Drosophila melanogaster: one gene and its partners. The protein of the gene in region 3 interacts with the protein of the main gene of each other region in a pairwise test. Each region holds a gene or a part of one and is shown on either strand. Other genes may lie near its edges.

Region 1 (3,756 bases), on a different chromosome or scaffold from region 3:
TAAGCGGTTTGACGGCCCTTAGGGGTTAGAGAGGGCGGGGCAAAAAGTTGTTTGGCAAATCGATAGAAATTCACAAGACTAATAAAATTATGAAAAATATACAACCATTTTTTATAAATGTGGTCGTGAAAACTTTGTGCGGTTTGTAAAGTTTAGACTTGGCGTGTCTAAATTAGGAAACCAACTAGTGCTGCGTCTATGCTTTTTGGGTTGAATGCTTATTCTAAGCTTTTAAGCTCCTGAACTTTGGACGCTCTTACGAACGGAAGGACGGACGGACAGTCGGCTATTGATCCTAACCTTGCTAAAAACATTTTCATTTCACCGAACCTAATATACCCTTTTAGTATTCGGGTAACGGGTATAAGCCAAGACTAAAACATATTAACAAATAATGGTAAAATAGCTGAAAGTCCTTCACAAAACAATGGGAAGAATTTTGTTGACGTAGAAAATGAACGCAAACCAGGGCTGCTAAAATTTCCCACCGTGGGCAACGCATTAGTCCCATTAAACGATGTTGCCATCCTTATTTCTACACATATTGGGTGTTGCCATTACGCACTTTGCAGTTGTTTTGAGTTCCCGTTTTGAAATCTACACAAGTACTCAATTCTAATCGATAATATAATACAAAAATTTAACAAAACATGTGTAGGAATAGAGATGTCAATTATTTTCAAGTAAAATTTACTAGGTTTGAGTCGTAGCTTTAACATAGATAACATCAACAGAAAAATGCTTTCATTTTTCCAGCCATCTAGGCACATCTGTTTACATCAAAGCTCTGGCCAATCCACATTAAGCAACTGAGAACGCCATAGTAGAGTTCTCGGGCTACCAGATACCTGTTACTCTGTTAATGGAAGTTCGAACGAAAAATATCACCAATTTTCTGGTATGTCAATTTGAATAGGGAAGAAATAATAATATTAAAAATTTTTTCAGATATGTGACATTTTGGGCGGTTCATGAGCAACTCACAAATGATTTTGGTACATCTATAGAAATTTTCAAATCAAGTACTATACAAAAAACAAAACATTTTTCAACAGTGTGGGCGTGGTAGTTTTGGGCGGTTTGTGGGCGTAAGAGTGGACGTGGCATATCGATAGAAGTTTACAAGATTAATAAAGTGATGAAAAAATTCAAAACAAATTTCAAAGGTGTGGGCGCGGAGGCGTTTACCTTTTTTGGCGTGACAACATCAGGAAACAAACTTGCTCTGCATATATGTATGTATCTGGAAACTGCATGCTTACTCTCAACTTTCTAGATTCAAAATTCCTGCGATCGAGGCTCATGCGGACAAATCGACTCGGCTGGTAATCCTGATCAAAAATATATATGTATATATTTCGGGTCGGAAATTCTTCCTTCAACCTGTTACAGATACACATACTCGGTTAGTAAGAGTACGAACGAAAAAGTTAAAAATTCGTTTTGGCGTATCGATAGATACGGAAGGACCAAAATTGAAATAATTTCAAACTTGAAATTTTTAAAAAATATTTTCATGTTGTAGTGTTTCTCAATTTGATCGATATTTTACAAAAATTTTGAAATATCGAACTTGACTATAGTGTTCCATCTCGGTTTTACATAGAACATTGACCGTCCTACTCTTAAGTACTGCTATAAAATGTCAGTTGTATATGAATTGTGTGAGAATGAGCTCATGTATTACACACACATCCTTTAACTCGCCAATTAAATTCAATTATCGTTACCTAAATTCGTTGGTGAAGTTAATTGAATAGAAAGCAACATTTAACATTTCAATTGTCGCTACATACCTGTACAAAAACAGGGTTGATACCACAAACTATTATATTTAGAAGAGCGCAGGCGCGTACTTTTGGAAACGCCCTGGAAATTAGGATAGTTGATTCTTATTGGCTCATTTTTTCTAGTATGTATATATATATATCTTCTTCTGTGGTGTATCATTTGCTTTCGGTCTCTTATTGGCTATAAGCAGGATTATTTTGTTCTTAGACTTTTACAATCTGGTATCGGTATCGGTTTCCCACTCCTGCTGCTTTTCTTTAAACGATGTCAATACCAACGAATATGGTGTTTCATATTCAGTTTTCGCACCTATTTCGTGTTGGAATAATCTAGTCCTCAAAGAAAGTAACTACTGTGTTAAATTTTTTAACTAAAATCGAGTATACTTTCTTTTATCAAACTATAAGATGTAACTTCAATAATGAGAAATATTACGTATATAAAATATACGTTCCAAATATATTATAAAAGTGGACCGAAATCTTAAAACAAACAAAAATAATACACACAATTTAAGAAACTTCACAAAAAAAACTGTGTTAATAAGGCGAAATGAATCTAAACGGAACTTGAACGTAAGTCAACAAGTGTTAACAAATTTATCTAACAAATATAGAAAATACGCGCACAAATGTTCATAAAACAAAAAGTTCGTCTGACCCCACATCATTAAGGATTTCCTAAATATTTAAATTTTAATGTGGACATAAGGCCACATAGTGACGAAATAAACATTTTGGTTGGTTTCTCTGTCTGTCTGCAACAAAACGTTATTTTAAATTTCGAAAATAAAATCATTAGTTCGAAAAATCAATACTTACAATCGCTTAAAACAGTGCAAAATGTCGTAAAAAGTCTATACCAATGCGTATATATTCCATATAGCATAAACAAGTGTAAATTGTACTCTTCGGTAAATTGTATACGGTAAATCGGTAAGTTGTATACTCCTTCAGAACATTGAATACTATCTGGCTAAAATGTTCTATAAATTGTATACTAAACTCAAAATAAAACGTAATCGAGCTTATCGGTTTAAAGTGATATTTAAAAAAATATATATTGTTTTATTTATTCTTATATTTTTGTACCCGTTAGTCGTAGGATAAAAGGGTATATTAGATTCGGTTAAAAGTATGAAAGGAAGTGTTTCCGACCATATATTAAGCAGGATCGAGTCGGGTCGATCTGACCCTGTCCGTCTGTCCGTATGAATGTCTCGAGCTCAGGAACTGTAAAAGCTAGAATGTTGAGATTGAGGATGCAGCTTCCAGAGACATAGACACATCGACACACACAAAACTGCTACTCCCACACTTTAAAACCGCCCAAAATGCCACGCCCACGCTTTTGAAATTTTTTTTCGTAATTTTAGGAGTCTTGTGTATTTCTATTCATTTGCCAAAAAACCTGTTGCCACGCCCACAATAACGCCCTAAAGCGTTAGACGCGTTTGCGACGCAAACACTTTTGAATTTTTTTAGATTTTTCTTTGTTTTATTGTTTGTCTTGCGAATTTTCTGAGTCTATGGCAGCATGGATATTCACAGCCATTTTATTCACTTTAGCAGTTTTCAAAACACAAAAGCCAAATAGATATAGTTTAGTGCTGCCCGCCTCTGGCACGTCTTGTGGAAAGTGTAGAATCTGTTGTAGATGCAGGACCACTGGGCAGCGACCCTTAGTGGTATTGTAGTTCCTGTGGTGCTTCAACTTGGTGTAGTTAATCAGACAGAAGAACGTCATGCTGGCGACGGTCAGCTGGAAGAAGGGAGCGATCACGGCGCGCTTCGGGAACACGTAGTTGTACTGCCAGCGCCAGCATGCACGGTTCACGGCTCCGGCCACAGCGTTGGGCGTCTTGTTGCGGCGTCCCAGCCAGGCTTTACCGTAGAAGCGAGCGGGGTCTTAGGGCCCGTGCACCTTGGGGTTGTACTCACCTGGATAGTCACCAAATGACACCGC
Region 2 (3,756 bases), on a different chromosome or scaffold from region 3:
CTTCTTTGGAGGGTTCATAATTAGTTTCTCCTTCAAAAGGAAGCTCCTCACAATTGTCGATACGTCTCCTTTTCGAGTTTGCTGATTGGCCATTTAAAATATGCAAATTTGATCCGAAAAACAATAAGACAGATGGACACAGATGGAGTGAAACAAAAGCGAGGCGGACAGAGATGAAGCCATCAAAGTGGAGTTGCCAACGGATTGCACTTAAAAATGCCCAAAAGCAGTCGAAAATAATTTGTTAAGCTTTATGGACAGGCGAAAACTTAATTAAAAACAATCCTTTTCTGGCGCACCTAATTAAAAACACTGGGTGTTAAGTTAATGAAGTTTCTTGCTGAATGAACGACACAGTTTTTCAGATTTCATTGAGAAATCGTAAAAGATAAACAGATATGGTGAGGCACAAAAGATAAACAGACCATCAATATGGTGTTTTTGTAGTATTATTTTTTCGGGTCTAAAGAGGCCACACAAGCAGAAGAGCGACAACAAAGGCGGAGGCGGCAAAGCCAAAGGAAATGCGAGAAAAAAGTTTCTCAGGCCCTGAAAACAAAATGGAGCTCCACAAAAAAAGAAGATAAATACACTAAAAATTGAGCACTGCGTAATACGGTTGCTCTGCTCTGCCACTGGTTTTTATATTTGGCCTCTCGCTCGCTCGCAAAACGGGTTAAGAAGCAGTTAAAAAGGGGGTGAGCGAGCGAGACGGCGCGAAAGAGTGGGACAGACAGAGCGCCGCCCAAAGCCACGCCCACATCTATAAAAATATACACAGGTATAAGTGAAAGAAAGTTACCTTTTTAGCCAAACAGCAGCTAGAAAGACAGAGAAGAAGTCCGAGGAAATCCAAAGAAATCGCAAGCTTATTACAGCCCGCATTATCCAGCACACCTTTCACTCATTAGTCGCCTAAACTTAATTGAAATGTTGGCTTACTTAAGCTTAATTAACAGTCAACTCAGGTAACGCCTTCGAAACCACTCAACTCAGGTAGCCTTCTCTCGCTCGCTCACTCTCCAGTTTTCTCAGTTCGCTCTTTAGCTCATTTTCCTCCGACCAATCAGCTGAAACACTCAAAACTCGTTCTCCGCGACCCAAACAGTGCGTGGGAAAGGGACAGCCAACCGAGAGAGGGCTGTAAAAAAGAGGGTAACCAAAAAAAGGAAAACAGAAAAAGTTCAACCCATCAAGCTGAAGTTTTCGATCGTAACTTTGCAGTTGACTCTCGCGCACAGAAGCGTTCGGAAGTGAAATATATTTTATTAATAATATTACCCAACACAGTGCTACCAAACAGAAATTGCATACAATTTGTGTCTTGCCAAATAGCAAACGGAATTTCGTGCTTTCGCAATAGGTAAGTGACGCCATTTTGTGACTTTTACGCTTGGCTTCCGTTAGAAGAGACGCCATTTTGTGGCTTCCGTTTGCCAGCTTCTGTACTTACGCATAAGAACTTAGGGCGAGCGAAAGGGATGGCTAGCGAGCGCTGCGCATGAGCAGTAGCTTCGGCTACCGGTCTTCGTTTTGCTTCGTTTCTCTTCGGATGACTCACACACACTTACACACACTCACACAGTGCCACCGAATTGAGTAACAGACAGGGACAGAGCGATGATCTCGCTTCCTCAACTTGCCAGCAGCGACGCCGGCAGCGACGCCGACAGAGGACGGCGGCAGAGGCGACTACTATTTCTTTCAGTTATTAGTAGCATTCATTCATTCAACTTTGTGCCGCTCGAGCGTGCGTATATAGTTCCCTCTCATCAGTAACAGTATCAGTAACAACATCAGTAACATTTCCTTCGCGAGTACCTTCAAAAGAGATACAAATCGATCTATCCATTCAGCGGACATACGAAAATCGCACAAAACTCAGCTATAGAAATCGGTTAGCCTCTACTCGAGTCCGAAGAACGCGTAACTCCAGTGCATCCCATTGGGTAAGTCTTTCTTCAGCTCCTCTCTTCAATGGCGTTCTTCGTGTTCTTCTGTTCGTCGTTCTTCCCCCTTCCACACTTGTTTCGCTACCAGTTTTACGCCGCTTTCATTGGACAACTGAAAACTGAGCAAAGAAAAGAAGAAGTAAACCCCACACGTAACACGGGTGCGTGTATCGGCCTCTCTTTCTGCCCGGGCCTCTCACTTCGGCTCTTTAGTGTGCCAGAGGGAGAGGGGCGATGCGTCTAATATGGCATGCGTGTGGCCAACGGAGCTTTTCGGCCTCTGTGTGCGTGAGAAAGTGTCGCCATTTGCCAAAATGGCGGACGCCAAGTCCGAATATTTCCCTATTGGACTGTAAAAAGTTTTTACCCGCACTTCTTGACACGAATTCCCCAAAATGGGTGATCTACTTGAAATACAACCGAGTTTATTGATCTCTCATTGTATAGTACAAATGTGTTATTAATTTCCGAAATGAATGAAGAAGAAATAATTTGTATCTCATAAAAAAATGCTCATTAATTTTCGAAAAGAAAACTATTTAATATTATTTTCTATTAAAGTTGGTCTAAAAAAACATTTGAGCTCTCTTCAGAACAAATATAAGTTTTTATTGTATCCTAAACTTTCAACCTGTTCTATTTTTAAAGGTTTCAGTCGTTTTCCATTGAAATTGTCTAGGAATTGAAAACTCTTAAAGCCGTCGGCATTTTTTCAGATTGAAAGAATAGAAGCTGAGAAGTTTAATGAGTCAGCATTAAGAACAAAAAGCCTAGTTTGTCGAAGGTTGATCGCGGACGCACAAAACACGGCAAATCATCGCCAAGAATGTTTGGCATATCATCATCAGCCGTTTTGGTACAAGTTATTTGCCTATGAGTCATGGAGTTGTGCTTTTTTCATTGGATTATGAAATACCAATGAGTACGGCTCAAGCTAACAACAGATGTTCAAAAAGTTGCGTCAAAGTCAGGTACTTTGAAATACCTGAGATTTGGCACTTGTGCGAAAATTCCAATGAATCTGGTGCGAAATCGCAGAAATCAGAACCCATATTCTAGGGGAACTTTCTGGAAGTAGGACTAACATTTACAATATAGGGAAATTCGTTTAACATAGTTATACTGAAGTAAAGTTGTTGTAAGAGTTTCGTGACCTCTGAAATTCTTACTGCTTTCCCGCGACCATTTCTTTCCCGTCTGTCTGATCTTTGACCTCGTCTGGACCTCCCGCTGCGCTCCATCAATTAGAGTCTAATTAGCTAAGCGATTACGGTAAATGGGCTCAGCTGGCAGCTAATCTGCGCCGACTTTTGAGCAACTGTCATATCTTACGGGCTGAAGGTGAGAAGCGTCCGAAATCGACTTGCTTCGGCCACGAAATTCCCATCCGATTTGCGATGGATCTAGGGAAGATCGCTCATACCTTGCCGCATTGTATCTTTGTATCTTGTGGTGTGTTTGTGTTTGGGGTTACGAAGGTATTCCTTTGTTCGCACTGAAGTGGCAGTGCCACACATCCTAATTGTTTCCACCGACTTATTGGTTCTGTTGTCAGGCCAGGATCTCGTGTGTGTGGGTGTTTTTCCCGGGAATTCTGCGCCATTAGCACAATTAGATTCGTATCAAATGGACTTCGGTGCCTTTGTCTTCAGAGCCTTATGTCCTTTTATTGTCATTTTTTCTCGCTTCGGTTTCTTCTTTTCACTTTTCGGTTGTAATTTTTAATGGCACCTTGCCAACTCACTGTCCGCCTCCTACAAAAAATAAAGGGATGACCACGGTGCGAGGTGAAAGAAGTGTGGTA
Region 3 (3,756 bases):
GCTTCAGCTGATCCTTGTCGTTCTTGGCATAATACTTGCAGTCCTTGACCTTGTCGCGCAGCGTTTTGCGCTCCTTCTTAAGCAGCTTTTTCTGCTGCTCGCGTTCGATGCGGATCTGCTCGATGCGTTTCTGCTCGGCCTTTTCAGCCTTCTCCTTGGCCAAAGCCGCTTCACGGATGGCACGATCAGCTTCTGCCTTCTGGGCCTGGGCGGCGTCCATCTTGGCTCGCTTGGCAGCAGCCTTGCGATCCTTTTCCTCCTGCTTGAAGCGCTGAATGCGCTTATCATTGTTGTAGGCTAAATCGACGAGCGACCGGATACGAGACATTTCCTCCTTCTTGCGCTTGATTCGAGCCGCCCTGTTCTCCTTTTCGATCCAGCGACGTTCGTCGCGGTCCTGGCCCTTCTCCTTGTCCTCTTCGTCCAAGTAGCTGAATTCCCGCCATGACTTAAAATCGTACCAGAAGTTGTAGAAGCGCTCCACCTCTTCGCGTTTGGCGTCCACCTGCCCGAAGGAGGGAACATGCGGCTTTTCGCTCCAGCGCCCGTTAAGTGTGAAAAATTTGTTAAATACGCCAAAGTAGTCGTTATCGATGTCGTTCTGTGAGGGCAGCGAGTCGTCAAACTCGGGATCCACTGAGTCAAAGCTGCGGCGCGGCTTGGATGTGCCTGGAATACAAGATGGAGTATTAGATGGTTTAAGAGGAAATAGTTTAAAATCTTCCTGTCTATTTCGTACAATTGTTTACAATTATTCAAAGTGTTTAAAGCCAAAAAAATTCTGTTGTATAATAGTAAGTTATAATTTGGCATTTTGTTTAAAAGAATGTGAGAGCAAACAACTAGTCCTATTTTTAGATATGCAAAAATAAAGCTTCAAGTTCTGCGCGCTTAGACAAAGGCAACAGCACACCAATGAATTAGATCGAGTATAAATTAGTTTCAGATAATTTAAAATCTTAATTGATTATTATACTCAACAGGATTGTATGGTATCATAATTTTATATAGCTTAAGCAAATGCTCTGAAAATTAATATCAAAATATTCTTATCTGTCGATTTGCATGGGCAATGCGAAGTCCGAAGGACACCCAAGGATCAGCAAGGACATTTTCTTGACACCCACCCAGTATCTCGTAAGCTTTGGTTATGCATGTGAAGTAATCATCGTCCTGGATGACTTCCTCGCCCTTGGCTTTCCGCTTATCGGGATGGTGCAGCAGAACCATGCGCCTGTAAGCCCGTCGAACATCATCCTCGCTGGCCTCGTATCTAAAGGGTGATTTAGTCAGACAATACAGTATTAGTTGGGGAAGTCCCATTAAATATTGATAGAAACGAACACATGGGAAGAACACCACGTGCTGCCGTCGCACTAACCGGAGCTTGCCCAAGCCAAGAACGGCGTAATGATCCTGGTCCTTCCACTCCTTAGGATCCAGCGACTTTAGGTAGCTGATGTCCACCTCCTCGCCCACGCCCTCCAATTTCTCATCGCTTTCGCTGCGCTCCACGCCGCCGGGAGCTAGAAATTGGCGCCGTTGCGCAAAGTAAGCGAAGCCAACGCGCTCGATTTTACGGCGAACGACCTTGAGCGGCAGCTGCACCTCCACCGCCGTTGCTACCGTACCGCTCGTCATCTCTGGTCAGGTCCGCTGGTTAATGGGCATTCACCGCCACTCCTGTGGATTCACGTTACTCAAAATTTGGCGATCCGCTGCCTTCAAAACGTCGAAATCCAATTAATAATCACACTTTTCCGCAGCACCGCATGTGTTTCGACTAGTGGTGGTGAAACATCGATGCCATCATCGATTATGGCGCTGGTAAAATCGATTGGCTTCCTACTCTATATTTGATCGATAACAGCAAGCATGTATCGCTGGCACTTATTGGCAGTGCTGCCAGCTGCTATAGCTAAAATCGAATGGCAACTGTTGTATTGGTTTGGCGCCAAAGTGTGACCGTATCTCAACTAATGGTTATTTATGATTTATATATTTAGTTAACCGTCTTAACAAATTATTAATCCACGTTCATTACATAACAAATCCTACACTATTAAATACATTCCACATTCGAGTTTTTGTTATAATGGGCCACTAAAAAAAGAAAGTGTCATACAATAGTTAAGAAAACGACTGTTTATAATTCATTTGAATGATAACTTGACGTATATTCCAAAAACCATTAAGTTCTACCATTTGTTAGTTTTGCTTATCACATTTATTTATAACGAATTGTATAATTACAATTAAAGTGCTAAATAAGTGCTGGCTGTATAGTAATACACCTTTTATTTGCCAAAATCCATTTCACATTTCAGTAACACTTGACCTCATTACATTTAGATGGTCGTAAAATATTTTATACATAAGTATGCTTACTTTATTTACATTTCCGCTCTTTGATCAAAAGAAACGGTTTGTACAACTAATATTTGGTTTTCTAATTGATTACTGGCTGTTAAATTGACTATTAGTACTAGAAAACTAGTTGGTACACATTATGGTTGAATTGAACGAAGCTAGTAGGTTCATTGGCATTTCGTATGGTTGGCTTTTGTGGGAAGATCCAAATATCTTACTCTAAACAGATTTGAAACGCACACATATAAACGACAGTTCTTAAGTTTAACGACTAGAATTGTGCTGAGATAAATGTAATTCTTGCAACTTCAAGTATGGTGATTTAAAAATTCTACTAAGTAGCTTCAGTGTCGTTCTCCACCATTTCATTTCAGTGTTAAGCCAAACTTTGAAACATATGCCGGCGTAACTCCATTTGTATAAAATCGTTCCAAAAATAAATTCATCAGACACTCTATCGCCTTGAGATCGACTTAGACCCAGTGAGTGCGCGTACTCGGCTATAACGCATCGTTGTGGCTCTTCGATATCGTCGTCTCGATCTGGTCGATCCGTCGGAACGAGGGCATATAGCTAGAGCTGGCCTGCGTGACGATCGAGTTGTTGGAGGAACTCTAAAATATTGAATAGGAAAAATATATCATTATATAAGATAGGTTCTAGAAAATACTCTTTCTAATTAAACAGAATCATATGAACAACTTAAATACTATTTGATATATAATAATTTTTGAAACACTACGTATTGTACCTTTTTCTGTCGATATGAACGTCCCCGAACACGGGTTGTATTCCGGCGCACAGGATTGACCGTGGTGGACTTTTGGGATAACCGGACCGAGCTGAACGTGCTTCCCCGATGTCCTCGACGGATTTGCGGCGAAGGAGTGCCCGTGGCTTAAGCATTAGAATCAAATTAATGTTATAAGAATTTTAAGTTACCCGAAAGGAACACTTACGTGTTCCGGCAATGGCTGTGCTGCGTTTGCTAGCCTGAAGCATTCCGAAAACCACGGCACTGAAGGATCCATGATGGGAGGTCTGCCGCTGAAGATTCGGGGTTTGGGCCAGGGGAATCCCGGCTGGCATGCGAACCGGTGAGATCAGCTGGCTCTCCGATATTCCCTTGGGATGCACATAAAAGGTGGTCATCATGCCCTTGCCCTTCACAGCGATTTCACCACGTTTCTGTGGGATTTTGAAAAAACGTATAAGAATTCGGGATAGGTAACAAAAGACCCACTTACCACACACGTGTAACCCCTGGAGCAAAGCAATTCCGCCGTATTCTCCGGAACCTGAACTCGCCAGTTCTCGCCCGTGGAGTCCATTCGTGATGCCACATTGACCGTATTGCCCCAGATATCGTAGACCGGTTTCCTGGCT

Evidence for each region.
Region 1: the proteins of CG10565 (region 3) and fuss interact in a two-hybrid assay, tested with the Drosophila melanogaster proteins (one large-scale study listed by BioGRID).
Region 2: the proteins of CG10565 (region 3) and drm interact in a two-hybrid assay, tested with the Drosophila melanogaster proteins (one large-scale study listed by BioGRID).

The regions. Positions count from the first base shown.
Region 1 is NC_004353.4:976,817-980,572, reverse strand, and holds the start of fuss (fussel), read left to right. Parts: upstream 1-2,083; 5' UTR 2,084-2,366; intron 2,367-3,311; exon of another isoform or gene 3,312-3,756.
Region 2 is NT_033779.5:3,538,029-3,541,784, forward strand, and holds the start of drm (drumstick), read left to right. Parts: upstream 1-1,704; 5' UTR 1,705-1,949; intron 1,950-3,756. UniProt on the Drosophila melanogaster protein: Putative transcription factor. May function redundantly with odd and sob in leg joint formation during the larval stages, acting downstream of Notch activation.
Region 3 is NT_037436.4:21,134,237-21,137,992, forward strand, and holds the start of CG10565 (uncharacterized protein), read right to left. Parts: upstream 2,118-3,756; 5' UTR 1,642-2,117; coding exon 1,382-1,641; intron 1,274-1,381; coding exon 1,128-1,273; intron 670-1,127; coding exon 1-669. Other genes in the region: Ac78C (adenylyl cyclase 78C), read right to left, coding at 2,871-2,984, 3,122-3,267, 3,330-3,558, 3,618-3,756.